4 linked regions of the Astyanax mexicanus genome follow. The protein of the gene in region 3 purifies or fractionates together with the protein of the main gene of each other region. This does not show direct contact. Links are inferred from orthologs where the notes say so. Each region holds a gene or a part of one and is shown on either strand. Other genes may lie near its edges. The genes, in order: gfer, ssna1, chchd4a and timm10.

What was found.
Region 1: the proteins of chchd4a (region 3) and gfer purify together in Homo sapiens (co-immunoprecipitation; 3 studies listed by BioGRID and IntAct, with this or other methods). This does not show direct contact. The link is inferred for Astyanax mexicanus from reciprocal best matches to the Homo sapiens genes CHCHD4 and GFER.
Region 2: the proteins of chchd4a (region 3) and ssna1 purify together in Homo sapiens (co-immunoprecipitation; 3 studies listed by BioGRID and IntAct, with this or other methods). This does not show direct contact. The link is inferred for Astyanax mexicanus from reciprocal best matches to the Homo sapiens genes CHCHD4 and SSNA1.
Region 4: the proteins of chchd4a (region 3) and timm10 purify together in Homo sapiens (co-immunoprecipitation; 4 studies listed by BioGRID and IntAct, with this or other methods). This does not show direct contact. The link is inferred for Astyanax mexicanus from reciprocal best matches to the Homo sapiens genes CHCHD4 and TIMM10.

What each region holds. Positions count from the first base shown.
Region 1 is NC_064410.1:54,128,328-54,136,083, forward strand, and holds the start of gfer (FAD-linked sulfhydryl oxidase ALR), read left to right. Parts: upstream 1-4,610; coding exon 4,611-4,826; intron 4,827-6,289; coding exon 6,290-6,495; intron 6,496-7,087; coding exon 7,088-7,250; 3' UTR 7,251-7,756. Other genes in the region: drg2 (developmentally-regulated GTP-binding protein 2), read right to left, coding at 490-587, 1,500-1,590, 1,736-1,808, 2,529-2,619, 2,710-2,770, 2,849-2,938, 3,024-3,184, 3,907-3,970.
Region 2 is NC_064408.1:19,791,767-19,799,903, reverse strand, and holds the start of ssna1 (Sjoegren syndrome nuclear autoantigen 1), read right to left. Parts: upstream 3,043-8,137; 5' UTR 2,803-3,042; coding exon 2,751-2,802; intron 208-2,750; coding exon 8-207; intron 1-7. Other genes in the region: anapc2 (anaphase-promoting complex subunit 2), read left to right, coding at 4,747-4,857, 5,818-6,073, 6,261-6,585, 6,806-6,938, 7,494-7,695, 8,123-8,137. UniProt on the Homo sapiens protein: Microtubule-binding protein which stabilizes dynamic microtubules by slowing growth and shrinkage at both plus and minus ends and serves as a sensor of microtubule damage, protecting microtubules from the microtubule-severing enzyme SPAST.
Region 3 is NC_064431.1:28,413,448-28,420,918, forward strand, and holds the start of chchd4a (mitochondrial intermembrane space import and assembly protein 40), read right to left. Parts: upstream 3,188-7,471; 5' UTR 3,031-3,187; coding exon 3,009-3,030; intron 1,212-3,008; coding exon 1,113-1,211; intron 56-1,112; coding exon 1-55.
Region 4 is NC_064414.1:44,291,926-44,300,168, reverse strand, and holds the start of timm10 (mitochondrial import inner membrane translocase subunit Tim10), read right to left. Parts: upstream 3,067-8,243; 5' UTR 2,914-3,066; coding exon 2,843-2,913; intron 1-2,842. Other genes in the region: uncharacterized protein LOC111195959, read right to left, coding at 4,503-4,798, 6,103-8,243.

The sequences.
Region 1 (7,756 bases), on a different chromosome or scaffold from region 3:
ACTCAGCTGTATATCCCCCATTACTGATGATGCTACAACTTAACACCAGAAGGGGGAAGACTAGCACATGCCTCCTCAGACACATGTGAAGTCAGCCACCACCTCTTTTTGAACTGCTGCTGATGCAGCATTGCTGAGTAGCGTCACAGCGCACTCGGAGGAAAGCGCAGCGACTCGATTCTGATAAATCAGCTCACAGACGTCTTGTGGTGATCAACATCACCCTTTGGAGTAATGAGGGGAAAGACCTAGAGAGAGCAAGACCAATTGTTCTCTTTCAGGGCTCAGGCAGCTGATGGCATGCTATATGACTAGGATTCAAACCAATCTCCCAGTCATAGTGGCAGCTCTTTAGATTGCTGGACCCTTCAGCGGCCCAACCATATTATTTAAAAAAAAAAAAGTATTATTTCCAAAATGAACAACCAGATATAAGGCAAATATGTGGAACATATTAGACAGATATGATGGATGCAGACTGCTACTCACGTATAAGCAAGGCATGTACACTCTGTTGCCAACAATAACATCGATAAACTCGTCCGGTGTGCAGTCTTCTCTAAATAAAACCTCAGCATTGAAGATTTCTACAAAATCAAGTTAAGGTAATAATGTTCCCATATTGTTATTCCCCCTAAGAGAGACAGTTACAGACACAGACAATGTGATAACGTTTGAACTACCATAAAATAAAAAAAATAAAAAAAAAGGAACAATCTATGAGTAGTGTTGGGCAAATGGTCGGAAGCACCACATAAAAGAAAAAGCAAAGTACAAAAGATCCCTTTTGTTCCCGTCATATATATTTATAAGTATGTCGTTAAAAAATAAACACACACACACACACACGCACACCTTCAAGCAAGGCAACTGCTACCTTATTGGGAAGAGCCCTGTACCTCCATTTCTGGGCTGTTTTAAACAGGTATCCCCCCCCTACAGTATATATGCGATTGCCATCACTCTTTAACATACACAGTTAAAATTTTTCCACCGACATGGACTGGCATCACTCTGGTTTGCGAACCTAAATTTGAACTGGTTCGACATGTTTCCACCAACAAAAGTAGGTTCCAGAACCAGGAATGTTCGTTCGTAATGAGAACCAAAAAAATACTGGGTCCTTCAGTGCAAACCATGTTCACTGCCACTGTGCAGCACCCGCTGTTGATGTCGTATAATTAGCTGATTTGAGAGTTCCCACTAAAGCTGTTGGAAACATGGTCTGGTTCACTGAAAAGCACCGTGAGGAACCAGAGGTTATTTGACAGAAAAGAGCCAAATGTGTACACGTAATTAACATATATTTTTGTTGGATAGACTCATTCAGGTTAGTAAAGCTCAGTAATTTATCCCGTCTTACTCTTTTAGGACCCTACAGGTAAGTTTGAGCAGTGCTAAACAAAAACAGGTAAGTATATACAATTGTCTGTGTCACTAACGTGTCAGGGGTACCTTACATCATTACCAACACAGACAGCAATGCTGATAAAGGATACTGTATTCATGAAGAATGAGCTGAACAAGCTTCTCTGAACAGTATGTGAGAGGAAGTGTTGAATTGAAGGAGAGGCCACCTCCTTTCTTAGGCTGAAATGAGAAGAGAATATTTTGTAAGACTTTTGTAAGAACACAGTTCAAGGTCCAAATCAGAGGATATGTATCATGCAAACTGTTAAATGTTAAACACCTTAAGTACTCCTGAATGCAGGAAGGTAAAGAATGTAAAAAGTACCTTGAAATAAATGTTTGGTTTGCACCGGTTGAGTCTGATGCCAACAGATTCAAGCTCTTTTTCAAGAAGTTCCCTGAAAGATTAAAAAATAAATCATAGGACACTTTATCTTTTTTATTCACTATGAGGGTTCCTATGAGGAAGAAATAGCCAGATAGAAATATTATAGACAATACTCAATAAAGGGTGCACAATATTTTGGTGGTGTGGCGCAGTGGAGAACACCACTACCTGCTAGTGAGCTACCACATCTGGGGTTCAATTTCTGGTCTGGATGACTAAATGCTGCACTACACCAATAAGTGTCCTTGGGCAACTTTTGTAATAAAAATAACCTTGTAAATAACCTGGATAAAAGTGTCAGCTAAATGCTGTAAATGTATTTTTTTTTATTCCCCAACTATTGCTGCTGCTGCCAATTTCATTTTTTCATTATTTTTAGTTAATTTGATAGGAGCTTCCTGTTTCTGAATATGTCTAAGATTTTATTCATCCCTGAGGGCAAATTTGCAAAAAAATATATCTGTTTCTGTATATTCAGTACATTTTCTGTTTTATTTATAATATTATATTGTATATCTAAATGTATATCAGTCCTACCCTGTTCTAACTACCTGAAGCTCACCACAAGCATTTTAACTGCACATGGGCTAGTCTCATAAATGTTTATTTAAAAAACTTGTCCACGTTATGTACCATAACTGCACAATATTAAAGACATCTGCATACCAAGTGTAATCACATGTGGCAAGTCACAATCCATGACCAAGTCTCAACGAGGCATATTACTCACCTTTGAACCTCTCCTTTGGTTGCATCCAGCATCATGATAACCACATCTGCAGTTCTGGCTACAGCTATGACCTGTCTACCTCTGCCCTTTCCTGTATGGAAAACAACATTAACTTATTAGAATCAAGAAAACAAGTGCAAACAAAAATGTCAACATCCACTAACATCCAAAAACCACACACCTTGAGCAGCTCCTTCAATAATTCCAGGCAAATCCAGCAGCTGTATATTGGCACCTTTGTACTGAAAGAAAGAGAGCATGATGAAACATTTAAATAATTTAAAATCTCCAGAAATATAAAAATTCAAATTGACAGGTACCTCAATGACACCTGGAATGCAAGTCAATGTAGTGAACTCATATGAAGCAGCTTCACTTTCTGTCGATGTCATCAAGCTAAGAAAGGTAGACTGCAAAAGAATTGATTGTTAATGCAAAATAACAAACTGTATAACTGGTAATTAACACACATACACAAATAGATACTCTGATTACCTTGCCAACTGATGGAAACCCGATTAGAGCCACCCTGGCATCTCCTGATTTCATAACATCAAAACCTTCACCTTTGGCTCCTGCTGATTTTGAAGGCTCCAAAAGTTGTGCTCTGTACTTGGCTAGCTTGGCTTTTAGCAGACCTAGATGGTACTCCGTAGCTGCAAACATGTTTAACACAGATAAGGACATACTTTTTTTTCACTACACCCCACATCCATTTCACACCGTTTTTCTCCTTTAAAATAAAGTGAACTTTGTAGTTGAGACTGATTAAGGGTATTATTCCTATTCCTAAATAAACAAAACAGTCTTACACTTCAATCAATCAATCAACCTTTATTTTGCCTCGGAAGTACATTTAGGGCAACCCTCATCTTTTAATAAAGCTAAGCATTTACAAAAACAGGGATTGGCATGACAATTAATAACTACATTTAATAATATTAGATTAAAATAAAATAAAATAACAATAACATTAAATAAACGAAAAATAGATAAAATAATACAATAAAATAATAATTAATGGTTTAATTGATAAGAAATTAAGATCAAATTATAATGCTTAGTAAGACAAACACCTTGAAATTAGATATTTTCGCTTATTAAGATTTTGGGTTTTCGAGGCGGTGCAAAATCACCTTCCACAAAGATCCAACAGCTGGCTGTAGCTGTACAGGTATACAGAAGTGCCAAATCCAAATCCATGAAGTCAAAACCCACCCCAGTATTTTGTGGCAGCTGTCAGTGTGATTTAGCTTTAGAATAGATCCACATTCATGCTGCCGGACTGTACAAAACAGTGGTGTGGATTTGTACTTTCGGGACCTGGATTTAGCACCTTCTAACGTGGCAGTCTGGGCTGGCCGGCTAGCTAAGCTACCTTTGTTTTTCTGTGTCCGAGAGATTTCTCTCTCAATCTCGGCTATCTTCTCCAGAATCCCCATGCTGAGGGAGGGGTGAGGTCCTCAGGACGGTGAAGAGACCTGTGAGAGGAGCAGCTGAACAGAAACACAGACAGACAGACCGCTAGATTAGATTAGCTAGGGTAGCTAATAGAAGCAACTAGTAACTGTAGATAGATAACTAGCAAACTTATCGAGCAGTTTTACAGAAAAGCCGCTAAACGATGGCATTTCCGGCTTCGACATGCACATGAAAATTAAGATATAGGTGTTTATTTGTGGGTACTTTAGAATTTAACACTCACGTATAGAAATAAGAGCTGTAAAAGTTGGGAGAAACCGAACTCACTCTCTAGCAGCACCGGAGAGCACGCGGTGTCGCTCTGTAAGCTGTCCGCTGAAAACACGGCTTTGCGGACTGATCGTTCCGCCTGAACACGGACTAATGCTAGCTAAGTTAGCTAGCCAGTTTAGTTATTCTAGAATTTGAAATAGTATCTAAACTGTTATAAATCCGAATTTAATTGCAAGATGAGACGTTTTCTGATGTTTCTAAACTGACCAAACGAGTCTTGCCCTCTTCCATGGTACGAAACGTAGCTTTAAATCTAGCTAAGCAAACATTAGGTTAGCTAACAGCTAGCTATCTTACGTTAGCTAAGTAAGCTAACTAACAGCCGTCATGGCAGCTCCGTCAGGGTCGCGGTACGGGGACAGTGACAGTAACAGTAACAGCACTGGTATGGAGGGCTTCCCCTTCCCTCCACCTGTCAAACCGCCTGGAGAAAGTTCAGAAAAAGAACAGGGCGTGAAAAAGAAGCCGTGTCGAGCGTGTACAGATTTTAAGTCATGGATGAAAGTTCAGAAGAAGCAGGCTGCCCCAGGTAACCCAGCACAGGTGAGTGACTGACTGGACAGTGTGGTGAAGTTTCCTGAAAAATAAGAGTATCATTGAAAAGTTACTTTATTTCTGTAAATCAGTTCAAAATGTGAAACAGTGAAAACCCAAAAATCAGTGTCTCAGAAATATAGAATATAATTTAAGACCAATTGGTATTTTTGGCAGTGTGGACAGTGTGCCAAGTCCTGCTGGAAAATGAAATCCGCATCTTCATAAAAGTTGTCAGCAGAGGGAAGCATGAAGTGCTGTAGGATTTTCCGGGAAAACACTGCTCTAACTTAGAACTTTGGGTATAACACAGTGGACCAACACCAGCAGATGACATGTCTCTCCAAACCATCACTGATTGTAGAAACTTCACACTAGACCCAAGCAGTTTGGACTGTGTGTCTCGCCACTCTTCCTCCAGACTCTGGTCCCTTGATTTTCCAAATGAAATGTAAAATTTACTGATGATCAGTGATGGTTTGAAAAACCCTGTCATCTAGGGGTGTTGATCAAGTGTGTAATATCAAGCCCAAAATCATTGCAGTGTTTTCCCATAAAATCTTACAGCACCTTATGCTTCCCCCTGCTGATTTCATTTTCCAGCAAGACTTATCACACTGCCCACACTGACAAAATCTTATGTAGTATTAAGCCATAATCATCAACAATAAAAGAAATAAACACTTAAAATAAATCCCTCTGTGTGTAAAACATTTATATAATATATTAGTTTCATATTTTAAACTGAATTACTGAAATAAAGCAACTTTTTAATGTCATTTTTTGAGATGCACTAGTATGTATCTTCTAAACATACAGGTATGAGTTGTCTTTTCACAGCAAGTTATGTTTGTTTAAAATAATTACATATTCTGCATAGAGTTCTGATCTCTTCTTTAAAGAAAACTTGTTTTTAGTATTGCTCAAACTGATTTCATACTTTTAAAAGTACCTGGCAACCTGGCTATTTAGCAATTGTGCACACAGGTTAAAATCAATAAGGTGAAATTCCACATGGTATTTGAAGATCTCATTCATGTCAGCCCCAGACAAATTTACAATTATTGTTATCATTCATACATACTTGCCACCATCCTGCACTAAAAACATTTATTTTCTTTTTACTGGTTAATTTGACAGTTGTCTTAATGACGAAAGTGTCATCTGTCCACCAATAGAAATGCTTAAAAGTGGCTTGGAATAAAATATTTGAACATTAGCTTCCTATAAAAGTTACGATATTTTTTATGTACAAGGTTATTTCATGATGATAATATACAGGCTAATACAGAAAGCCAATACTCTATAATCCTTTTAGTATGGTCAAGAGATGCTGCTGACTCGATTTGATGCTATGAATCGTTTCCTTATTAAAAGAAACAAACAAAACAGTTTACAGTTTACCAATTTACTCTGTGGGCCAATAAATGTAGAAAATACCATCTTGGCTAAACTAGAAATTTTGCTTTTAGGAGACTCAGGTGGCTGAGGAGAAGCTGGTGGAGTGTCCCCTGGACAGGGAGGAGCTCGGGAGGAGTTCATGGTCTTTACTCCACACTATGGCTGCCTACTACCCTGATACTCCCAGCACATCCCAGCAACAAGAGATGAGCCAGTTTATCAACCTGTTCTCAAAGTTCTTCCCATGTGACGAATGCGCTGAGGACCTGAGAACAAGGTGGGATATACACAGTATTTAATATATTAGCAGGATTGATCTAGCTGTCTGCAGACATGCACTCTATGTCAAAATGTTTGTGGACCCCCCCTTTTAATAAATTCATTGCTGACGTAGATGTGCACATATATAGAAATAGCTTGTTTAATTTCTATGGAGAAGTATTTGATTGTGTTCAGTGACAAAAGCCTTACTGAGGTCAGGACTTCACTAAGGCTTTTGTCCCCTCACAACAATGCTCCAAAATCTAGAAGAAAGCCTTCTCTGCACAGTGCAGACAGTTACTCCAGCATAAGCAAGATAAACTCTTTTTTTTAGAACAAAGAATGAGCAGGTGTCACAATACTTTTGTCCATATAGTGTTTTGTCTGCCAAATTTATTTGACTCTTATCTCTCACGAAGTATCAAGCTTATTCAGACAATTAAAATATATATATATCCAGCATATATACATATACTGCCTGAAGAGTTATTACTGGGGTTGGATGCTTTATTTTTAGTTTTAATTGTTGTTTTCCCACTGTGCTTTTGGCTGTATGTTCACTTGAGCATCTGTCCCCTTTTTGACTCATCGTTTCTATCTGTTGCCAGATTGAAAACAAACCAGCCAGACACCAGCAGCCGCCACAACCTCTCACAATGGATGTGTCGTCTCCATAATGGCATCAACATCCGATTAGGCAAGCCAGAGTTTGACTGCAGCAGAGTGGACGAGCGGTGGAGAGATGGCTGGAAAGATGGCTCTTGTGATTGACACTGACATGCCCTCCACAGCTGATTCACTGGAAAACACAAAACAGAACCATCAGCTGCTTTGAACTTTTTGCCTTGGGCTATAATAACTGTTGTTGGAAGCGGCTATTGTGTCTCATATACCTGATATGTTGTACATGATGTTATACATATTGCTGCTGTACACAGGCTTGTTGACTACTAAGACCAACATGAAATTTAAACAAAATAATCAGCTATTATGACTTTCTTTACAACCAGCTTGGTCAAGAACTGGTTTACCAAAATATAAGTATTTTGTAGCTTGGATGACCAGATTTCAACCACATTGACCATCTAAAACATGGCAGACCTTTTGATTGCAGCTCAATATTTGACAGTTGTCCCAATTTGACCCGTTTCCTCCAACATAACATTTATAATGCTATTCTTTTGTCGTTTTTCACTTTTTAATGTGAATATGGAAGTGGTTCTTAACATTAAATCTAAACCTCATTTAGAAATGAAATGTTGAAATGTTCCAAAGTT
Region 2 (8,137 bases), on a different chromosome or scaffold from region 3:
TGCTGACCTTCATGTACGCGGCCTCAGTCTCAGCGATGGTGCGGTCGAATTCAGCTCGAGCCGTGAGGCGGTGGGCCAGGCTCTCGTTCACCCGGCTCAGCTTCTCAGTCAGCACCCGGATGTCGTGCTGAAGACGAGCCTTCTCTGATTCTTCCTGCTGGATCTGCTTATTCAGCTCATCCCTCTTAAAGCACAGCTCCTCGATACCTGAGAAGAAACAACTGTGATATTAAGCATAAATGGACAACTTGCTCTTACAATAGGTTTTACACATCTAATGCATGTACATTTTTTAAATTGTGAACAATATTATACCTTGAAATATGGTGCCATATCACCCACCCCTAATTATATAACAATTTTTTATTTATTTATTTTTTTACTGTTTTTATACAAAAAAAAAAAATCACACTGCTTTCATTTCCCATTATATATCTACTAAAGACAAATTATATCTGTCCAGTATCATTTATTTCTTTTACTCTAATCCTGGATATATGGAGATATTTGGAGTGCATTATTAATATCATGACATTCTGGATCATTGACTTCTGTTACAAATCTGATAAAATTCTTGTATAATAAATAATAAAATTTCAATAATAAAACAATATTTTCTTTTTTTTTTTTGCAGTAGTGTGTTCTTGAAATATTTGTTTTTTTTATTCAGCGTTTTGTCATATTGCCAAAAGTATCATTATTGCGAAAATATCATAAAATATCATGATATAATTTTAGTGCCATATTGCCCACTCCTAATGTACATCCACTATACATCCAAAACGATGAAGACATCTTGCTCAGTCGTTGTTTCTTTGTTTATTCTGCTTTTTTGAAGTAATTTTTGAAACAATTATCTCTACTGTCCAGGAAAGACTTTTGGAGCATTGCTGTGAGAATTTAATTGCCTTTAGTGACAAGAACAGTGACCACACAACTCCCCATCCTAATCCATCCCATCCCCTTATGCATGGTGCCAACATGTTCATGTTTATCTGTCCTATTCTATAGGCAATACTTCTCCACAGGCACTAGACAAGCTATATTTGTGTGCACTTGCACGTCTGTGTCAGCACTGGGTGCAACTGGAAATAGCTGAATGCATTCTTTGGAAGGAGTATCCACAAACACTATGACAAGTAAAGCATCAACATGATCTACGCAGTTAATTACTGCAAAGTCCAGGTAATGGAACTTCAGTGGGAGTTTGTTTACTTATAGATCACAGCAGACATCTTGCTGAATCATGTAAAAGTGATAATGACGGAGGGATGTGGGTGTGTTGGCTTTGTCCTGACCTCTTGAACCCTACCTTTTTTAATTTTAGTTCCAAGACCTGTTACTCAGTATACGCAATAAATGATTCAGTTTGTAGTATAAATGCATAAGATTTTTGTTCTTTAGTGTTTTATGAACACTGAGTAGTTACAGACAGTGTAAGTTTATTTGATATAGTACAGCAAATCCTCGTACTAAGTATAGGGGTGTGCCAAACAAGCATGTGTAAACATTACCTGGCCCAAAAAAAGAAATAAAAAAGGCAACACCACCACCAATTTTTTTTTCTTTGATTGCAGCACACATTCACTGTGGCATTGTTTCAATAAGCTTCTGTAATGTCACAATGTTTATTTCAATCCAGTGTTGCATTAATTTTTCACCAAGACCTTGCATTGATGATGGTAGAGTCTGACCACTGCACAAAGCCTTCTTCAGCACATCCCAAAGATTCTCAATGAGGTTAAGGTCTGGACTCAGTTGCCCTCATTCTTTCAGCACATACTGTTGCTTAACCTAGACCTGACCTACTGCAGCATCAACCCCACATCATTTACTTACTTAAATCCAGGTGGCAATTTTATTTCATGCAGTGTATATTATATCAATATAACCATATAGGCCAACCCAAACCATCAAACCAAGCTGTACTGCTTGAATTTTTGAACCAGGACTGGCATAAAGTTATCCAAAAGCAGTGTGCAAGACTGGTGGAAGAGAACATGCCAAGGTGCATAAAACTGATTAAAAATAGGGTTATTCCATCAAAAATGTATCTTAAACTTTATGAATATGGACTTGTTTTCTTTGCATTATTTAAGGTCTGAAAGCTCTAAATCCTTTTGTTATTTCAGCCATTTCTCATTTTCTGCAAATAAATTCTCTAAATGACATTTTTGTATGGGAGAAATGTTGTCTGTAGTTTATAGAATAAAACAACAATGTTCATTTTACACAAACATAAACCTATAAATAACAAAATCAGAGAAACCAATTCAGAAACTGAAGTGGTCTCTGAATTTTCGCCTTTTTAAATTGTTTATAAATGAAAACCTCACATTTTGTTAACATTATAGCATGTTGTATTTTTTCAGTAAAAGATAACTCATGCTACAATGTAGTAAATAATACAAATAAATAATATATAAATATAGGAATGTTTTAACAAACGTTAGACTGGAAGGTACTGTATATAGTAAGATATATAGCTAAATAACATGAATTTTAATGGAAGGCCTGCAAAGTAAGGCTGGGTCTGACAGCAGCTACCTTAAAACTACCTAACCTAGTTTACTTAATCTAACTCAGCTAATCTCAGTCCACCAACTGTCAGCTCACATAGCTCAACATTAACATTAACCCCGACAGTCACTGAAACAACCAGTAAAACACAGTCAGAACTTTAATTTAACAGTTTTACATTACTATAATAGACTTTATTAATATAACAGAGTTAATGTAGAGTTACTCACACTTCACCAGCTCGTTGTTGTAGGTCTGTAGAGCGGCTCCTTGTTGGGTCATGCTGACTGTACTGAGTTTCAGCTCAGCAGTAAAGTAAAGTTAGATTAAATAAGATAGGTTAGATATCTCTAAAATCCTCACACTCCTCGTATATACAAGTTTATCGCACAGCTGTAACTTCACTCTTAATAGAAAGTTTGAGCTGAATCCATTCACTCCCTCTGACTCCAGCCTCCTTCTGTTTCTACAACAACCTCAGCCTGCAGCTCTTCTTCTTCTCCTCCTGAAATAACGCGCCTTATGGCGGGTGGAGACACTGCAGTTCAGCGCGACTCCGCCCCTGCTGGACTGGAGAGGAATAAAATACAGCTTTAACCCCTTCAGACCTTTCAGCGTTATATTACAATGAAAATATACAAATATAAATATAAAATATAAAATAAAAAATGCACAAAAAATAATAATCTAATACTCTAATATGACGTCCAGTTAAATCCAATTAACTAAAATATCTAATAGTTTTTTTTATGTCCATTGTACTGGAAGCCTGTGTTTTAAATTTGATATTGACCTTTAATTTCACAAACCATTTCTACACAGTAAAAATAATACAAAATAAAAAGTACATAACATTTGCATCAATTAGCTTTTATTCTTTTTTAGAAGATTGATTAATTTCATTATAAACAAAATTAATTCTATATACAAATACAAATCACAAATAAAATCAAATGCAGCAGAAAGAAGAAAAAAAATGTTAGAATATCTGCCTCATTTGTTCCAAGAATATTTTCAAACATTAGTAATTTACCAAAAAAACAAAACTAAACAAAAACATCAAATCCTTCCCAAACAACAGTTCGTATAGATACACATTATACTATTTAATTTTTTTTAAACAAACCAACTTTTATCATTCTTTTTAACACATACATTGTTCTAGCATATTTAACGTCACTCTCCAAATGATTCCACAATCTTATCCCTTGAATTTAAGTACAACGCTCTTGTTTTTTCCAGTGATGTGGGCGCGGCTAAGCTAGTGTTTCTTTTTTAACTATTTTTTTTAACAGTTTTGCATGAAACTGGGTTTGTCTAGTCAGGAAATCTATTTAAATATGTATTTATAATAGATTAATATTCCTTTCTGAAGCTATTCTCATTTTTCTAGGTTGCTAAATAGAAATATATAAAGATTTTTTTACTCAACATGGTTTTACTTCATAGCTTTGGCATTTGTAAATCGTAAAAGCTTGTATACAATAGCTACCTAATCAAGTTTTTATTTTGTCCAGTTTTGTTTTCAATAGAGACCGAAGGATTGATCAGCACTGTTGTATAGGATGTAAATCCATTTTGCATACTTGTTTCTCAAAACGTGTGAAAATATAATGGCAAAAATTACAAACAAAATTAAAACCCTTCATTTGCAATTTAAAATGGCCTTTTGCCATTTCACTTTCATTATCATACAGGTATTTCCCAGTCAAATGTAAAATAAAAAACTGTGAAAAGAAAAATCTAAGCTTTTTTCATTTTACCACATTTGCAACAAGTTGGAGCTGCTTAATATTTTCCAGAGCTGTATATTTTATGGTAAGGTTATAATAAGTGGGGATACAGGTAACAAATGGTATTTTTTCAGTGTTCCAATTAGTTTTTATGAATGTTTTTAGTCACATATCTTACATTTGCAAGTAGGTCTATGTACAAGACACTGTGTTTAACAATAAAATGTATTTTGTGTGCACATTTAGACATGTAATTTCCTGTGGATAAAAAAATACAGCCTTTTCAGCGTCATCGGGTCGTGGACGTCATCACTGAGGGACAGCAGCTTGAAGAAGAGCGCGGAAATAAACAGCAGCAGCAGGAGAACCAGAGCTAATGGAGATCGTATAGCTCGAGTTGCTGAAGCTAAGCCGCTGTAATCACTGCACACGGCGGTACAGAACCTCGGGGCGCGGGCTGTTCGGTAGAAATGCTGCGGGGACGGCGGGCTGTATGTTTGTAGGCGGTGGTCGGACCCGCGGAGCTGGGGGAATGAAGGACGGCGGGGCGGTGCTGGTTCCCCCGGGTCTGCCTGCAGCCTGGGCCGCGGTCACCGCTGCTCTGGTGAGCTGCTGCTGTGCAGATATATAGGCACTGACAGTCCTCAGGGTTATCACTGAGCTGAGTAACGTTTATTATTATGATGTAGGAATGTAGTTCGGGCTATTCTTAATCTGATACATACAGTCTAGGTTAGCTAGCTAGCCTGCTAATAGTGTAAACATCCTGCAGTACAGCACAAAGACAGGGTCAGCTGGCTGCACTGATCTCCAGTTTACAGTTATATATATGTTGTGATGCAAGAACAGTCAAGTTTTGTCAAGTTTTTGCTCTTTCAATTCTAATAGTTTTGGAGGTGTAAGCGTTTTATGCTTGCAAATGTATATTTACATTCGTATATGTTAATGTAGATGCTTGGTACAAACACACATTAGCCAATGAATAATATATCCCAACTAATTGTGCTCTATTTGACAAAAATATTACGATATTTCAGGGCACTTTTGCGTTAACAAAATATTTTTTCGTGATGTGTTTCTTTTCTTTCTATGATTTTTTTTCTTTTACATTATAAATGTAATATTGAAGACAATATTAAAGCTATACAGGAACATATTCTGAAATATTTTCTAAATTGAAAGTGTTAAACAAACCAGTATATGTTTTATAAGTACCACATTTAGCTTTGATGACAGATCTGCACACTCTTGGTACAGTATTTTAATCTCAGGGTCTTTATGAGGGAGAGTCACCTGGAATAGTTTTCTCAACGTCTTGAAGGAGTTTCTGGAGGGGCTGAACAATAGTTACTGCTTTTCCTTCATACTGTAAAGCTCCAGATCATCCCAAATTGCCATCTTAGTTAATCAGGTTTAGACCAGGAGATTGTGGAGGACAAACACTTTTTTGTTTACTTTGTAATTTCACGTGTCCCTTAATTGTTATATCTTAAATGTATACACATATACAATGTTTAAAAAAATAGTAGAAAAAAAAAAATTAACTCACATCTGCATCCTGTAGGTTTCTCCTGCAGTACCGCCTTCAGTTCCTGATGACACTATTTCTGATGCTCTGGCTCTGCTGTGTGAACAAGGGCTGGCTCAGTATGTGGAGGGCTGGCTGCTGGAGACCTTGCAGGTTCGTTTGACCACTGATGTGGCTCCGGAGTTCTGGAGTAATTTAGAGCAGCCTAAAGGAGATTCACAGGAGAAAGACAGAGCAAGATGTTTGCTAGATGCGTTCAGGACTCTGCTGCTGCGCCTTGAACCATTTCTTGGTAAGCTATGTTTTCTTCTGTTTTTGTAGGTACTGTTCTAAATCAAATGGAGATTGCAGTGCTTGAATGCTTGCAATTTTTGTCAGAAATGTGCTGATTCAGTTGCAGGTGAACAAACCTTATTATTATTCATTATTCATCACCGTTCATCATCTTTCCTTTTTCTCATCTGTTTCTAAACTTCCAGGTGGGCTTGAGCAGCTTGGGTCTTGGCAGGATGAAGGTCGTGGGGGTCTGGTGGGCCCTGGAGCCCATGGGCTCCGAGAGAGGGCCTTCTCGGTCATTCGTGCTATCCTCCTCTTTTCTCCTCAGCCAGTGCTCCAAAAGAGGGTGCTGGAGTTCTACAGTCGCACCTTCTCTGTGCACATGAGCCAGGTGGGAGAGGGTCTGGAGGTGGAGCAGGGAGCAGAGGAGGCTGACGGGGCCTGTGTTTGTCCAGGCTGTGCAACCCCACCTCAGCTGTGCTGGTGCAAGGAGGCCCTGGAGCAGCTGCAGGAGCTTAGCCACATCCTGTGAGTGCAGGAATATTGGGATTGCATTGTTTTGTAATATAGTGTAATGTAATTTACATGGGTGGGATATAGTTCTGCTACAGCACCATGGTAAAAAGAGAAGACATCAATATGATTACATATTCCATGCTGGAAAAGAAGAATTTGCCATACAGATGTACAAGCATTGGGTGCTGTGATGTAACTTTTTATGTGTTGTTGTTATAATGGTGTGTGGCAGATCCAGACTGCAGCTCTTGGGGAGGGTTAGCTCGGAAGCAGTGACCAGCATTCTGCACCGACTGATCGAGGAGAGGATGGAGCAGCGGTGCCGGGGAGAATATGAGAATTCCTTTCTGGCAGACTTCAATGAAGTATGAGGATTCTGGCATATATTTTAATGGTCAATTTGTTGTTTTGTTTTAAGGACTGAACAATCTATGTTTGTTATTCCTCACAGTTTTGCAGATATTTAAGTATATCTTTTCATGGGATGAAACAGACTACTCTTCATTGTGTCAGTGTCATTTTGTCTGTGTATAGATTATATAACAGTGTAAGTTTATTCTTCCCTCAAAATAACTCAACGTACAGCCATTAATGTCTAAACGAAATGTTATTGAGTTATTTTGAGGGAAGAATAAATACACTGTCATATAATCTACACACAGACTACTCTTCATTGTGTCAGTGTCATTTTGTCAGTTTCATCCCATGAAAACCTATACTTAAAGATCTGCAGAAATTTGAGGGTTTTTTTATACTCTTTATTATTAAATAATAACTGTGTTATATTAATAGATTATACTGTCCTAATAAATGACACCAGAGACATAAATAACAGCTTTTTTAAATACAGTAACATGAAAATGTTATTGTTGAAAATGTTATAAATTCTTGCACATTAGTGTCCTCTGTTTGTGCTTTAGTGGTTGGAGCAGGTGCTCGGCTGGCTGAGCAGAGTCTTTGCCAGTGAAGTGGACGAGGCTGGCACTGATTCTGTAGCTGCCAAAGGAAAACCTGACCAGCCTGGCAGTGCCATCCTCCAACGCTGGCGCTGCCACATGCACCAGTTCTTTTGCCGCATTTACGTTAACATGAGGATCGATGAGCTTTTCAGCATCATTCGAGGTAAAAAGTCAAATGACCTTTTTTTAAAAAATATACACATTTAAGAATAGTTACTTTTAACTCAAGCACTAACTTAGCACTCCTACATTCTGTAAATAAGGTCACTTGATCACACAATTTCCAACTGTGCTGTGATGCTCTCAGGTCGTTCAGTATATAAAGTAAATGCTGTAAGTGCTGTAAGAAACCTTACACAAGTTTTAAAGGGCCTGTGACTGTCACAGTTCTTTTGGGTTTACTTTGAATCAAGATGTGTATGGTTAAATTAATTAATAATATTTCTAAAGAATTATATGAGTATTCAGTAGCTATAATGACAATTCATATATTCATGTAACATATGAGTTTATTCATATATTAAGCTAGCCGTTAGTCTTTTAATTATTCATTCATTTTTTCCACTCTTTTACTCTTTTGCCTACTTAAGATTTCCCGGAGTCCA
Region 3 (7,471 bases):
ATCCCGCCCAGGCACGGGCAATTCCAGTTTATGTCCCCATTGGGTAGAATCAGACCTGGGAGGAGTCACAAAGTCATGATGTGAATAAAACTGACCATACTTAACATTAGCTATGATAACAGCTCAGTACTTTGCCCAAAAATGCTTAAAAACTAACGAGTCTATGAGAATTAATACTGAAGTCATCCAGACTATAAAGAAATATATAAGAAATAATGTAATAACTTGTTTGTTAAACAAACCAAAATACTCTGTGAATAAGCATTTAGGTGCTCTTATCTGGGAAGCTGTTAACTTACAGTTTCTTAGGCTTAGTCTTTCTTTCCTGAGGCAATCCTGATGAGAGCCAGTTTCATCTTACTGTTTTGAAGTAATTTAATGATTTTTTTTTTTTCCCACATTGACTGACCTTTATTTCTTAAAGTATTTTCTTTATTTAGTTGAGTAGTTCTTATCATAATATGGATTGGAACATAGGGCTAAAATAGGGATATTGCCTAATGATCTCAAACACATTAAGAGGCAAGAAATTCAAGTAATTAACTCTTGATGAGTTCAGCACAGCTGTTAACTGAAAGCCTGACTCTACCTCATAAAGCTGACTGAGAAAATCCAGCCAAGATATGCAAACCTGCAAAATCTAAAATGTAAAACATATTCTGCTTTGTTTAACACTTTTTTTGTTTACTAAATATTATATATTAAATTATTTTTTCTCATACTTTGGATGACTTTAGTATTAATCTACAATGCAGAACATTTTACATAAGTGAAAAAAAACACTCAATTTAAGGTGTGCATGAACTAACGATTGGTACTGAATTTCCTCCAAAAATGATAAATATGAGCATATATCTGATTAAAATGACTTCTGAGCAGTCTTAGCATTAGCTCTAATATTAGCTCAGTACTTCGCCCAAAAATGCTAGCAAGGTGTTTTTTATTTGTATAATTATTTTAATACTGCACTATTAAAGCTGTTGTTGTGTAAAGGCTGTGGAAAAGGCTTGAGCATTTGGAATAGAGTGCCATTATTCCGTAATCAGTTAGAAAACTGAACACACCTCCCTTTTAACGTGATACTTATAAACTAAATAAAGTTAGAAGCTCACCGTGATCTTCATAAGGATCGTTAGGGTCATCTTCTACCAGCTCGGCATTACTTGGGGCCTCGTGGTCCTCCTTGGTCACAAAGATGATCTGATCTTTACCTGCCATGAAGACGAGAAAAAGAGTGAGTACATTCAGTCTGGGAAAAAGCAATTCCAGCAAATGCTCAATCTTGGGATTTTCTACCATTGTAACCTGCATAACATATTGCAATACTATTATATTTTTATATCAACACTGTATAAGCATTAATGACCATTGATCAAACTTATCTAATGCAATTCCAACCTTGTGAGCCCGGACTTTGGTGTTTCTATATGATTACCTTATCTGACCTCTAGTTTTAATGTATACATGTAAACGTAAGCTAATGTTTCAGGTGACTAGCGTTAACATGGTGTCGCATATATCAACCACCACCACTACTACATTTACCAACATGGTATAAATACTGTCTAAACATATTGTGATTATATTGCAATAAAATGCAATATATACTCTATGGACAACAGCACAGAGACACATACACAAGCTTTTAGGACAATTCATTGTAACTATGCTGTATTTTCTAATAGTCAAAGACAATATCAATGATTCTCATACTTCTTTTGTGCTGCTGTAGCAAAACTGATCACAATAATTATACAATTTCCTCATATCGCCCACTTGAGCAACCACTTTAGCCATTCATTCATACATTTATTAAATAAACTGAATGAACATTCTCTCTTGTGACGCCCCGATGTGCGAATTATAGGTTAATGTCCATATCTGATATTGCGCACATATATATCTGCCAATATACACATTTACAAATTACAGAGCGTCTGGACACCCATTATAACTTTATAACTTAGAATTATACCCTAAAAAAACTAGTAGCGAGGCCATTGAAAACTGGCCAAATTGGACCATGCTGATGATTCTAAAAAAATATATAAAATATAATAAAAAGGACCAATTTAATATAACAAACAAATATATGTCCTAATTAATTAGAATAGGTGTGTTGACAACAAGAAAAAACTAAATTTTTGCTAATCTGAACCCGGGCTGGGGAATAATGATCAATATTGCAATATATTGTATTTTTTCTGTCTGTGATGTTATCATAAAGTATATGTGTATATATATTTATTTTTGAAACACAGGAGCTCTAAACTTTCTTCAATAACTGCGACTCTGTACACACAGTCTAGGCTGCAGTAGGTGAACAAAAAGTGTATATATTTCCCAAACTATGATTATTGATTAACAAATTTGTTGTCTCTTTTAAATGATATAATGTTTTTTTTATGCTATTATATCATCATAAATACAGTGCTATTTAAATGACCTTAAAATAATGATAATATGGTTTATCGCAATCATTTCTGAGACAAAATACCGTACAAAATACTGTTAATGTGGTTAATGTGATAAGCCTAATAAGGATGATGATCATGATAAGGATGATCTAATTGAGATTTTGCCTGTAGGTTGCATCAGACACTGATACAGAACTGAAAAGCTGATTACACACTTTCAAGACACACTTTTTCATACTATCCCTATATTGTGTCTCTACACAACACCATGGAGGTCACAGAGTTTGACCCCAGGAACAGGTAGATGATTAGCTACTTATTAGCTTGTTACTTAATATTCCAAGCTACAGTTTACACAACCACACATACATAACTGAACTAACTGAAGTTATCAGATCATTATACAGCCGCACACTGCAGTAACTCAGCCCTGTGTTCAGGTACTCTGCCTCTAGCAGGTGTTTAATGCTGTAGAGTGATGGTGATTGGATAAAGCTAGGGAACAGGAACACATGGCGGGCTAGCAGGCTAAAGCCCGATGACATTGAGGAACGCAGAGCAGCAGATCAGCAGATCTGAGCCGGATCATACCTTCCTGTTTGCAGTAGGACATGTTGGTGAGTGGAGAGGACCGATCACCCGCAGAAAGCCCCGCTCTGCCCCGCTCTCAGCGCTCTCAGTCCCAAACTGCTCACCGGCACAACCCGCACACGCCTGCTCTCAGCACCGGACACTCAACACAGCGGCACGGGGGCTACCATACTGGCGCCCGGCTATTTCATAATAAAAGTTCCCCGGAAAAAATATGTTATAGAGAAAAAATCAGGTCTTCCCATTTTAGGCAATTTTTTTTTGTTTTATTTAATTTTTTTATTGAGGAAAACGTAAAAAAAAAATATTGTGTACCATACTGGCGCCCGGTTATTTCATAATAAAAGTCCCCCGGAAAAAAATATACGTAATAGAGAAAAGTAAAGTCTTCCAATTTTGGGCAAGTTTTATTTTATTTAATTTTTTATTTTGTACCATACTGGCGCCCGGTTATTTCATAATAAAAGTCCCAGAAAAAGAATATATGTAATAGGGCAAAAGTAAAGTCTTCAAATTTTAGGCAAGTTTTTTAATTAAATATTTTATTGTGTACCATACTGGCCCTCTGTTATTTTATAACAAAAGTCCCAATAAAAATATATATTTATATAAGAGGGCAAAAGTAAAGTAAAGTTTTTTATTATTCATGATCGTCTTATTATTACTATTATATTCACGTTTCTAAACGCTCCTCCTCCCACGGCTTTCGACGTGGAAACGCGGAATTTTACAGTCTCGTATGAACTGTACTGAGTTACGTTGCTTGTTTTATTTTATTTTTTTAGTGTGTACCATACTGGCGCCCGGTTGTATCATAATAAAAGTCCCCGTTAAAATATGTAATAGGGCACAAGTAAAGTCTTCCCATTTTAGGCAAGTTTTTTATTTTATTTAATATTTTTATTATGTAACATACTGGCGACCAGTTATTTCATAATAAAAATCCCCGGAAAATGTATAATAGGGCAAAAGTAAGTCTTCCTATTTTAGGCAAGTTTTTATTTTATTTTATTTTTTATTATGTATTAAACAAACAAGTATACAAATAAAATCTGACAATTAACACCATCCAAGTTATTAGTAGGTACAGACTTCTTTAGTTATTCTTGGAACCAACATGCTCATTAAACAGGAAAATTCACAGAATTAGACAACATATAACAATATGATAGATAACACGACTTATTAAGGAATTGGAACGAGAACCTTTGGCTTGGCAACAAGATAATTAAGGTGTGGCCACAACTTATTAAGCCGTGGGAACAAGTTAATTAAATCATAGCCATTAAGACGTGGCCTCAAAGTCCTTTTGTTTCATAGCTAATGAACCAAGCAGCTCTCAGGGGTTGTGATTATTAATAATCAGGATCAAATATGATATACATTTATAGATATTGACCCACAATTCCCATGTCTGTGCATCGTAAATAAAAATAGAGGAGCAATGGCTTATTGTGTTTTTTATGAAAATAGATAAAATTTATTATCTGCTTATTTTCTCTTTTATATCCCTTTTTTAAGCAAGCCTTTCTCATCAGTGCATGAGATGCAGGCCTTATCTTTTGTTCTTTAGCACAACTAACTTGGCCTTGTTTAGAAACAAAAAAAACTGATGCAGGACAAGGCCTTTATTTGTGTGTGTGTGTGTGTGTGTGTGTCAGAGATAGCAGCAAAAACAATCCATTGTCATCAATCCTGAAACACAGTCAAGGATTTATGAATGGAGGTTAAACCAAACAGCCCCAATCTAACCTGTAAAACCCAACAGCTTTAATGCCGCTGTTGTACTCGGCCTGCGTTTGAGGACACAGTAAAATCAGGGGTCAGTCCAGTGTTTTCAGGTACAGCTGACCATCAATTCACAGCAATCCCGCCGTGTCGCTTTAACAAAGGCCTCAGATATTAAACCTGGAGAGGGATGTTTGGGCAAAGGGCGAGAGATTATATAAATCATTTGAAAGGGAAAGGAGAGAGGATTTGCTCTGAAAGGTTGCTCATAGTTACAGTAGCAACACACACAGTTTGAGGTTGGAGCGCTTGCCAAGCTTCCCCTGCCTCCATTGTCAATACTGAGCTATTCTGGAGCCGAATGTGGCAGAAAGAAAGTCACTGTTAGATTACAAACACACTCAACTATGAGCTCACTGCAGCTCAATGAGCTGGATATTCTTCGTTTCAGTCTTTCTTTTTAAGTAGAGAAGTAAACCCTCCTGTTATGTTAATTTGTCAGGAACAGCAATGGTGTTCCCAGGTCAATTTGACCTGGTGCATGTTTAATTATTCAAAATATTTCATTACTAACTCCACTGCTAATAATTCTATCAATATTTGGTGCAACCAAATGGTGTTAAAACCTCTAAAAGGTAATGGTCCAATTAGGATAATTCACAATTCTTTCTTAAAATAAATAATGTTACTACTGTAATGTTTCTCTACTTTATTACTTTGAAAACATCACCATATAAAACACAATCGTTTTACATAACATTGAAAATAGCATTGCAATTTTGTTTTAGTTTTATTTTTTTGCAGGTTGTGGTCACAAATATGTGAGATGGACCATTTTCATATTATATGTGGATTACACTAATTAAGGCAAGCAGAAGAAGTTTCATACTAAAAAATATATATATTTAACTATTTTTCTTAGATCTTTAAACTTTAAACGAGTTAAATAGTGCAACAGTATATTGACCTATGCTTTGGATTTGTGTTGGTGAGTGTAATATACTGCTTGTACCACTTGGAAAAATGACTGTTAGTGATCTGAAATAATTAAGTGGAGTAGAGAGTGAACAGGCAGCTTCTTCAAGTGTCCTGTAGGAGATTTTAAAGCCCTTAAAGTTTCCAGAGTGTAAATAACTTATTTTACTGCAGAGAAAAAGGGATTTGTATTAACTACACCTGTAGTCCTTGTACAAGGTTCAAGGCATTTAAGGGGTCAACAAAGTGTGAATGAGAAGGTGAAGACTGAGATTGCTTTTCTTATATTTACATGTTCGCAGTAGCTCTTGTATCAGCAGCATTAGCTGGGGCACTGTTGCTGTAACCAGTAAAAGCTGATGTGGTTGGAAAAAATGATTTGATTTGATATTTTGCAGTGTGGAAAATTTTGGGAAAAAGTTTGTGTCTTTATTTCAAGTTCTTGGTAGTTGAATGGAGCTTTGGATTTGCCTGTCTTACCAGCATATGAGTGATTCTCTCCAGAAGTTTTCCTGGTCTTCCAAAGATCCCCTGAACTGTAATTTCTTGATAAATTTCCACTCTTCAGAAATGTTTTCTTATTTTTTTTCTATTAGACTCTTCTGACGTGGGCATTGATTACTGTATTTTTTTTATCTTAAGGTATTTGCTTAGCTGCAGCACTGTGAACAGCTTTCACAAACCCATAAAGACTATGTTGGGACCAGCTTGTGGGTCACGTCCACTAACTGTTGGAAGTTGTCTAAATCATTTCAGATTGAAATCAGTTGACACTTTCTGATTACAATAGGTGGCATGTCTTTAGGCCTCATTTGCTAATCAAGGTCTAAAACCTTGTCAAACCTGGTATGTAATGATTTAAGATAACATTCTCAAAAAACTGATTAAACAAAGCACATCTGTAATATTTTATTCCAAAATAAACACACATTCTCATTATGTTTAGTTCAATACTGCTTTAATTTGATCTGTATGAAAAAAGTACTGTATTGTTCTTAAGCAGCCAAAACCTTGTCACCATCATTCATTCCACCCCACAGTTGTATTTACATCATGAAAAGTATCACAATAGAGCGACAATCTTTACAAAAATCATCTACAGTGGCATCCAATAAACTATCTGAGAGAAAGACAGATCCACAAGAAGTGAGGCACTTTTCAAATGACAGCACAGAAAGCTATCCTATCAGGTCTTTTTGGTATACGGTTTAATAATTCTTACAAATATCTATGAAATTAATTACAAATAACGTGTTTTACCTGTCTGATCTCACTTCCTTTACAGTCAAATTTATCTTAATCCAACATAGAGCCAGAAATTAGGAGAAATAACAGGGCGAATGCATAGTAGAGTACAGCAGTACACTGAATTATAATAACCTCAGGTTATATTAAACACAGTGACATTTTGGTAAATATTAGGGGTGTAACAATTTTTAATACAGAATAAAAAAAAAAGACATTCTCAGTGATCAAAACTAGGTCTCTGAGCGATTCCTAGTAGGTGGGAATTTACGAGGGTTGGGGTTTATGATATGGACACACCCACACCAAATTTTCTGCCTTTTACTTAATTCACCTGCATCCTATAATAACTGTATATAAAAAAGCAAATAAATGTCGTTCTGCATAATGCTAAGCTTGATAGGAATGCAGTGAATATTTATCAAGGGAAAATAGGTGCCCGAAAATGAAAAAAGCACTTTCGATGCTTGGCCGAAAAAGTGAAAGAATAAAAATATATTTAAGTCATATTGCAG
Region 4 (8,243 bases), on a different chromosome or scaffold from region 3:
GAATAGGAGAAAGCTTAAATACACAGTTCCCACTTCAACAAAAAAATTGTAAGCAATGTATTTAATATCTGGCTTAAATAAATACAGCTAATGACAGTAAAGTATGTAATCTCTGCTAGAAAGCAACAATAAAACATTAGGAAGGTGTATTATTTAGTGCAACAGATCCTAAATATAGAGAAAATATTTAAGAATCTCAAATGTAAAAAATGATTTCCACTGTGTATTCATAAACACACAGGAAAATAAATACCAGAATTTTCCACTGACATACACAATATGCTCATATAAGCATGATTACTAATATCAGAACTCCAAACAAATGCCTTCAAAAGTAAATTTTCATGACCATCCACTCTTTAAAACATCAGTACAGACATGGAAAAATTTAAATAAATAAAAAATCCATGTCAAAACTGATTATAGTAGGCCTATATTTTTCCTTAAAAAAAACAAACTTTGAAACATGACATTTTACTAGCTGAATAACATTTCTGCATATTTAGTATGTCAATGCCTTATGATTTACTGATTAGCTCACAATTGACTTTTTAAAATTTTTCTAGGTATTTTAATTTTTCCAAAACTTATCCAGGCCTGGAAATTTCTATGTTCAAATTCCATGACTTTTCCAAGTTTGTTATGACCGTACGAACCCTGTATACAGGGTTTAATTAAAAAAGAAAAGAAAAAGAAAAGTAGAATTAGTTCTGTTAAAGCCCACACAAACTGAAAATTTGGATTTGCAATTAGTGTATTTAAGTTTTAATCTGGCAGTACTGTTAGTTATTTTTGCAGTATGTGAAAAACATTTACGAATTCTAACAATAGTTTTGCCATTTTGCCCATCTGACTTTAAAATATACTCTTCTAAGGGTCATCTATCTCGTTTATGTAAATAAGCAACAAGGACCAAATATTAAAATCCTTACATTCATTCCTGAAGCCATGTGATCCATAACAGCCCGAGGGATTCAATTTTTTTTTGTACCACAGAAAGATCAATACATGCCGCTATCACCGTTTAAACAGTGGTGTCACGGCAACTATTTGTGATCAGATACCAGCCATGAGAATACATGATGCATTCAAAGGGAAAGGACATCTACAATAATCTACAATCTACAAGACTGTCAAATAGGAATGTTCCTCAGCTAATATCCTACTGAACAGACTTAACTCTGAATTTAAGTTCTGTTTAAATCTGACAGAGAAAGGCTTTGAACAGTTCCCAATCTGCCGATATATACTCTGCTGGTATCAGCAAACCATTTCCATTCAGACCTTCTGTAGCAGGCCCAGAGCTTCTTGAACACATAGCGAAATTAACTCTGGATTCTGGATCTGTCCTCCTGTTTGTTTTGTAAACATCCACCTTTAAAATGTTAGGACTACCCTTGTGAAAATGAAGTATACTTAAGAGTATTAAAAGTATGTTTAAATTAGGTAAAGAATACTAAAAGTGCATTTTCAATTTAATATACTTTATGAAAATACACATTAAATAAACATTCTCTGTATTTCCATAATTAATATATAGTGGCATTAAATACTGCTCAAAGTGCATTTTAGTGTGTTTTTCCCCCCAGTACTATTAAGGTGTACACAATATGGGCATCAATAAGCAAAGTAGTACATTTATAATATACTTCAAGTGTATTAAAAACAAATACCTAAATCTACTTAGGTTTGCAGAAGTTGTACGAAAAAAACACTCAAATACAAAATGTAATGCTTTTATGTTGTGTTTAAATATAGCTTACCTTTAATTACAACTGAAATATACTCAAGTTACTACAAGTACTATTGCCAAAGTAGCACATTTAATATGCATTTAAGTACATACTTTAATTTTAGTATGTTTTTTCCAAGTTAAGTATACTTTTAAAATATATATACTTAATTCACTTGCAGTTCTGTGATGTATTTAGATGGTGATTTAAACTCTTAATGCCAAAGCGTATACTCAAAACGTGTAGAGTGGGTATGTAGAAAACTCGTGGCTGTCCTGCTCAAATTTACCATCATTGTACCTAATTGACTAACAATTTAAATCTGGAGTGTCTGAGCAAGGAAACCACTGAGTTATGCTGGATGTCACCCTTTAGTACCTGTAAGTAAGTGGGGGGCTAATTACCCTTGAGGTAAAGAATGCTTTTCTTTTAGGGGTGACCTGACTCGTGAAGAATCATTGTTGCATCATTGAGGAGGACACACTGAAGGAGAAGGAGGTCACGGACCTTGACACTATTGGAAACGTTTGGGCTGCTCATTTACTGTATTTTACCATGGGAAAATCAATTACAAGATATATTTATAAAACTCTACAATCATTCTGCTATTAGCTGCAGAGTGGCTGCAGTTCCTTAGTGATAAAAGAGGAGGAGCAGCAAGGAATCTTCAGAAGGTATTGGGTTAGAATTATTATTAGAATCCCCCATTCAAACTAACAAGATTACACTAAGCTACCATGCCAAATGGCTGGTGGTCTATAATAGAAATGTTTATCATCAGTGTTTACCAGAAGAACAAGTTATGTAGAAACTAAAATATTCTACAGTCTAAATACTAGTCAGCTTGCTTTAACAGCTAGCAATGCATTTAAACAGTAAAACAAAAGTATATCAATGTGCTGCACCGTTTAAAAATGTGAATATTAAAAAAAAATGTTATGTATGCAAAGGAAACAAAGTTAGAAAAATCAAGATTATGGTTAATAAAGAGAGGAATACAGAGAAGAGCCGAACCCCCGGACTCAATCAAATGATTCAGTGGCTAAACCCCATGCTAGGCAGGGTAACAAAGCAAGCTAAGCTAGTAAAGTACAGGCTGTTCATATTACCGGTTATACATGTCTGCCATCATCTCCACCTCCAGCTCCGCCGCCAGCTGCTGTGCCTTCATGGGGTCCATCTCTGTAGCTGGGGTCTCCGGCTTCTCCTCCACCGTGGACTCTCCGCTTCTCACAGAACCGACAGCGCGTTTAACCTTCAGAGCCGGAGAGCTGCACACGTGGGGCCGCCCAGCTCTCACACTGCTTCCTGGGTCAACATGGCTCCCTCTGATTCACTGCAGTTACCACTCTGAACCGACTGATGTCAGTGTTGTGCAATAAGGTTTTTTTATTTATTATTTTTTAAATATGCCCTTTAAACCCCTTAACAGGCCTTGCCTCGTAAGTTGATAAAAAAAAAACATTTTTTTGTAGAAAAATAACTTATTTACATTCTGAAAAATTGCACAGGACACTTGGAGAATCTGCCTGTTTTCACTCTAATGTTCCTTATGAAACATGAAAGCTTTTTATGTAATGTTTAAATAGAAACACTCAGGATTTAGTGGCGTAATGTAAGGAAGACAATTGATAAAAAAAAATCCTGGCCTGTTAAGAGGTTAAACAACTGTGCAAACATGCATGTGCTCTTTCTGACTCTGGCTGCTGATAGCAAAAATACTCTGGGATTCAAATGGGCAATTCCGTAACATTTTTTAATCTTTCCCAAACATTATATAGCCTTTTTGAAAGAAACAAACAACCAAAAAAATATAAATAAAATTAAATTAATAAACTATAAAAATAAAAAGAGAAATCACAGTATTTTGTGGCCCAGTAAAATACACATCCCTGTTGAAAAATCCAGCTCAATCAGGTTCTGATAAATTTGAGATTTATCAGCTGGTCTTTAAGATGCTCAATTTGCAAATCTGCAGTCATCCTGCTTGCCATCAGCAGCCGGAGTCAAAGAGAGCACAACTGGCTATGCTCTCCCCCCTTTATCACTACCATGATGATGTCGGTCAGCAGCACAGGTGTCTGTTAGCTGATGTATCTATCAGAGCTGGGTTGCTGTATGTCCACAGAGCGATGGGAGCATTACTAGGGACAGTGGTAGTCCTTAAGAGTTTAGAATTAGAAGAAAAAAAAAGTTGAACCAGCTTTTGACCAGCATAGTGGATGTTAGATATGGCTTTCAACATTATTTACTTTTATTTATTTATTTATTTTTCCATTCTTACCCCCTTTTCTGCCCAATTTCCATGGCTAATTGTGCTCTCTCAGACTCTGGCTACTGATGGCAAGCAGCATAGTTCTTTTAATTATGGTAGTAGACCAGTTGGTCAGAATGATCTGGTTTGTAGACCAGCTAATCCATTGAAACCAACAAAACTGGTCAGAATTAACCAGCTTAACCAGATGAACAAGCTTGTTATGGTAATGCTGTTTTTTTCAGCAGGGAAATCTCTGAACATCACTAATCAAACCAACATTGCCAGCTTTTACCTTCATATTTATACATATTTACATATTTACAGAATCACAAACAATAAAATAACTGAACAATACCGCAACAACAACGAAAAAAATACGAACCATTGGATATTAATCAAACACTGATTAACTGGTGAAGCCTTTAACATTATAGATTCAATTTAGACTCACTTTTGCTGAAAACTCAAGATGATTCCTTCTCGCAAACATCAGGATGAGTTCAGTTTGTGTCCTATCCAGTCACATCAACATCTTCCTCTTCCTCTGACTTCAGTTCCTCATCTGTCAGAACAGTCATGCTTTCTTGATTTGTTAAAGAATTTGCCAAAATAACAGGAGGAGAGCTTGAGAGGTCATCCACAACTACCTCCTCCTCCTCCTCATCATCATCATCATCATCCCCACACTTCTGGCCCTCTGTCTCAATGTTGCATCCATGTTTAACTGCAAGTGTTGAGGAATCCATGCTGAGATAAGACTTCTCTTCTTTGTTGGCTGTGATTGCTGGTAATCCTGTATGCATTAAAGCTGCGACATAAAAACATGAATAAAAAACATCAAAGATAATTATTACTTAATGAAATTTAAATAAATCTTAGTAGTGTGGCCTTCACGCCAAAAGTGTTATCCGATCAATCTTTTTCTGTAAGAGTTACCTTAGCTGGCGAAAACGCCATAAACTTGGAGAAAGTCTGTTCCAAGATTGCTATCTACAAAAACACAGTAACATCGCTGCATTGCCAACGATCTGTTGGAGGTTAATTCTCTTCTGATGTTTGATAAGATTTGTTGTCCAAAACCAACAGTGAGCCAAGGTTTTAAAACAATAGCTTTGTCAAAATAGGAAATGATTTTCGCTTTCATATCTACTAGGTGTTTGATATGTTCTTCTTAAGATAAAACACCAAACAATCATATCCAACAGGGGCCACATTCCTCAGACATTACTTCAAAAGTAAAGTATTCTGTATGTAACAAAATAATGTCACAGTAATGCATTCAAATACATGATATATGTCTCCTCCTTCAGAGCTGTACATACATTTGTACTTGCCATTTTTCTCATACAGACAGAATTCTCAAGGCGATTCAATAAATAAAGGCTACATTTCACAGGTATCTGGGTATTTCCCTCTCTCCATTTTTTTAAATATTTCCGTCCACATAGAGGAAAAAACACTTCCATGCTAGCCCTATATGGGGTACCTTATACCTTATAAAGAAAGATTATGTATTCTAAATTCAAACAGAACGTCATTTAATTGTAATAGAACACCACTTATCTTTATTCATTTTGAAATTTAGGGCTATCTACCGTACATTTAGACATTGTGGTTTTAACTTATGTAGTTCAGTATGTAAGGAGGGAGGAGGTATTTAAGATTCAGCCAAAAGCAGGTATGCATTATGATTGCATAACATAACATTGCATTGCTTTATAAAAACAAAGTGTGCATGTTGCAGTTGTAGTAAAGCTCGCTCTCTGAAAAAACCCATGACTGTGTCCCAAACCATACACTTTTATATTTCATATAATACATTACTAAACACATCTGTAATAGAAGTGCAATATTTGTACTAGTTAGTGTGGTAGTGTGCATTTATGGACACTACCATTCCTGTTTTTGGTTTGAATTGCCATCTTTACAGGTCCAGATAGGTTACGCAAATATGGTGAATTTCCATCATTAATGACATCCATTGCATTGACAACTCACTCACTTATGTTCTGTTCTCTACAATGTGTCCTTTCTCAGAATGGCTTGCGTATCTAACCTCTGCATAATAATAATACAAAATAAAGTCCATAATGTAATTTAAAATTCACTTACTACTGTAATCTTCATCTGATGAGATATGCAGAACTTCAGTCCTTATGAGCAGTGGCCCCCTTAGTGCCGCCTCATGAGAAACAGACTCTCCATTACTCTTCCCGACACTAGATTGACTTTTCTCCAGCTCAATCTCAGTCTTGCCACCGTAGCAGGCAGAAGTAGCTGCCTCATCTCCATGACCTGCTGCTGCAACCAGAGCACTCACTTCCATCACCTCTATGTCAACATCACTTCCCTCAACTTCATGTTCTTCATTCTGTATACGGATTTCCTTTACAAGGGCTCCCATTTCTTCGTTTGATTCTACTTGCTGCTTTTTGCAATCCTGGTTGAAGTCTTGGTGATTCTGGGCATCTTTTTTTAAAGGGATATCATCAGTCTGGTCTGAGGTCCTCTCAGTGTCTTCTAGACATTTTTTAGCTGTTTCACTGTGAAGGTCATCTGTTTTGCTGGAGTTAATATCAAAATTCCCTGCTAACAGAACAGTAGGCAAATCAGAATCGAGATTACAATTCACATCAACAGTCCTGAGATCGACAGAACAAGAACCATTAAGGGAGTTTATAGATTCAGACACTGTATCAATTAGGTTTTTATCCATTTCCTTTCCGAAGTTTTCATCAACCAAGCATCCCTTTCCCTTTTTGGTTGTTGTCAACTGCTCACTGTTGTTTTCAGACTCCACATTCTTGTCGTTTTCACTTTGGTCCATATCCATCTTTCCTTTATTGATCATCTTCTCTATCTTGCCTTTTTCAGTTGAATCATTCACTTCTTTTTCACTGATCACCAACTTTCTTCCTCTAATGTGATCCTGGTCTATAAGTGTTCTAAACTTTTTAACGATGTGAGGCAGTGGTGGGCCAATGCCTCTTTTCCTTTCAGCTATCTGAGCAATCTCCGCATTCATGGACCTTGACTGTAGCTTCTGATCAATGGAAGGTAAACTCCCGGCAATAGTGCTTCCAACAGTAAAAATAGTCTGGTGGAAAACCTGATCAACAATACCTTTTCTTTTAGTGTGACTAGCATGCCTGGTGGATTTTTTTTGTTCTTTCTTCTTCAAATTCACATCAGAAATAGCTTTTGAAAGTATTTTTGCTTTTGGTGCCTCTTTTTCTTTATGCTTTTGGTTTACCTGGCTTCCTGTTGTTTGCGAATCTTGGTGCACAGATGTGTTGTCTTGCAACTCTACAGGGTCTTTTTCTTTTTTAGGATGTCTTCTATGTCCACGTTTTACCATAACAGAATCTTTTTTACCCACAGCTTCGGTGCATTCTACTTGATCTTTACTTTTGCAAGACTGGTTTGTCTGCAAGTTTGTTACCTTCTTCTTGGACTGTTGATCGGTCTGATCTCTTCTGACTGTCTTACCAGGTCTGAGCCAATATGTCTTCTCAGTACAAGAGTAATCACTGCATTTTGTAGATTTGATGCCAACAACAGATTCTCTACTTGTACTGCATTCTGTCACAACCTTAACTGATTTAGTGTTATCTCCACTTGAGTTACAATCCAGCATCATACGTTTTTTCTTATTTGGCTCATCAAGAGAAACATCAATGCTGGACCTTTTGGTAGATCTGCTCTTATTGAGGCTTGGTGTAATTACCTGTTCCAGTCGTCTATCATTGGTATCTTTGATGCAACCTTGACATGACCTCAAACTGCGTGTACTTCGACCAGACACTGATGCAGTTTTTGGTTTTATACATGGAGGAGTCAATGGGTTCTGATGGCCAGTTTTGTCAGGGAGTGTTTCTGTCTGGGGAGAAGAAATCAGGTGCATTGAAACTGGTCTCAAGAGGACAGTACAGGCCAGTTTTGTATGTTTCTGGCGATCACCATCAGTGACTACGTCTTCTGATGCAAGAGGTGAAAGACATCTTGGCAGTCTCATCTCACTTAAATCTATCCCATTATTGTCAGCAATGGAACTGGAACCATGAATAGAGCCTGATATTTGCTTGACCAATTCTTGGTGTATAACATTAGATGAGTCCTTAGTAAGTCTTTTAGAATCCCTCAGAGATGCACCTTCAGATTGTTGTTTTACTGCAGCTGAATTTATTGAGCCACTAGTGGTTTGTACAACTGCATTAAGTCTGGCTAAATCACTGTGTGTTGCACTTCTTGTG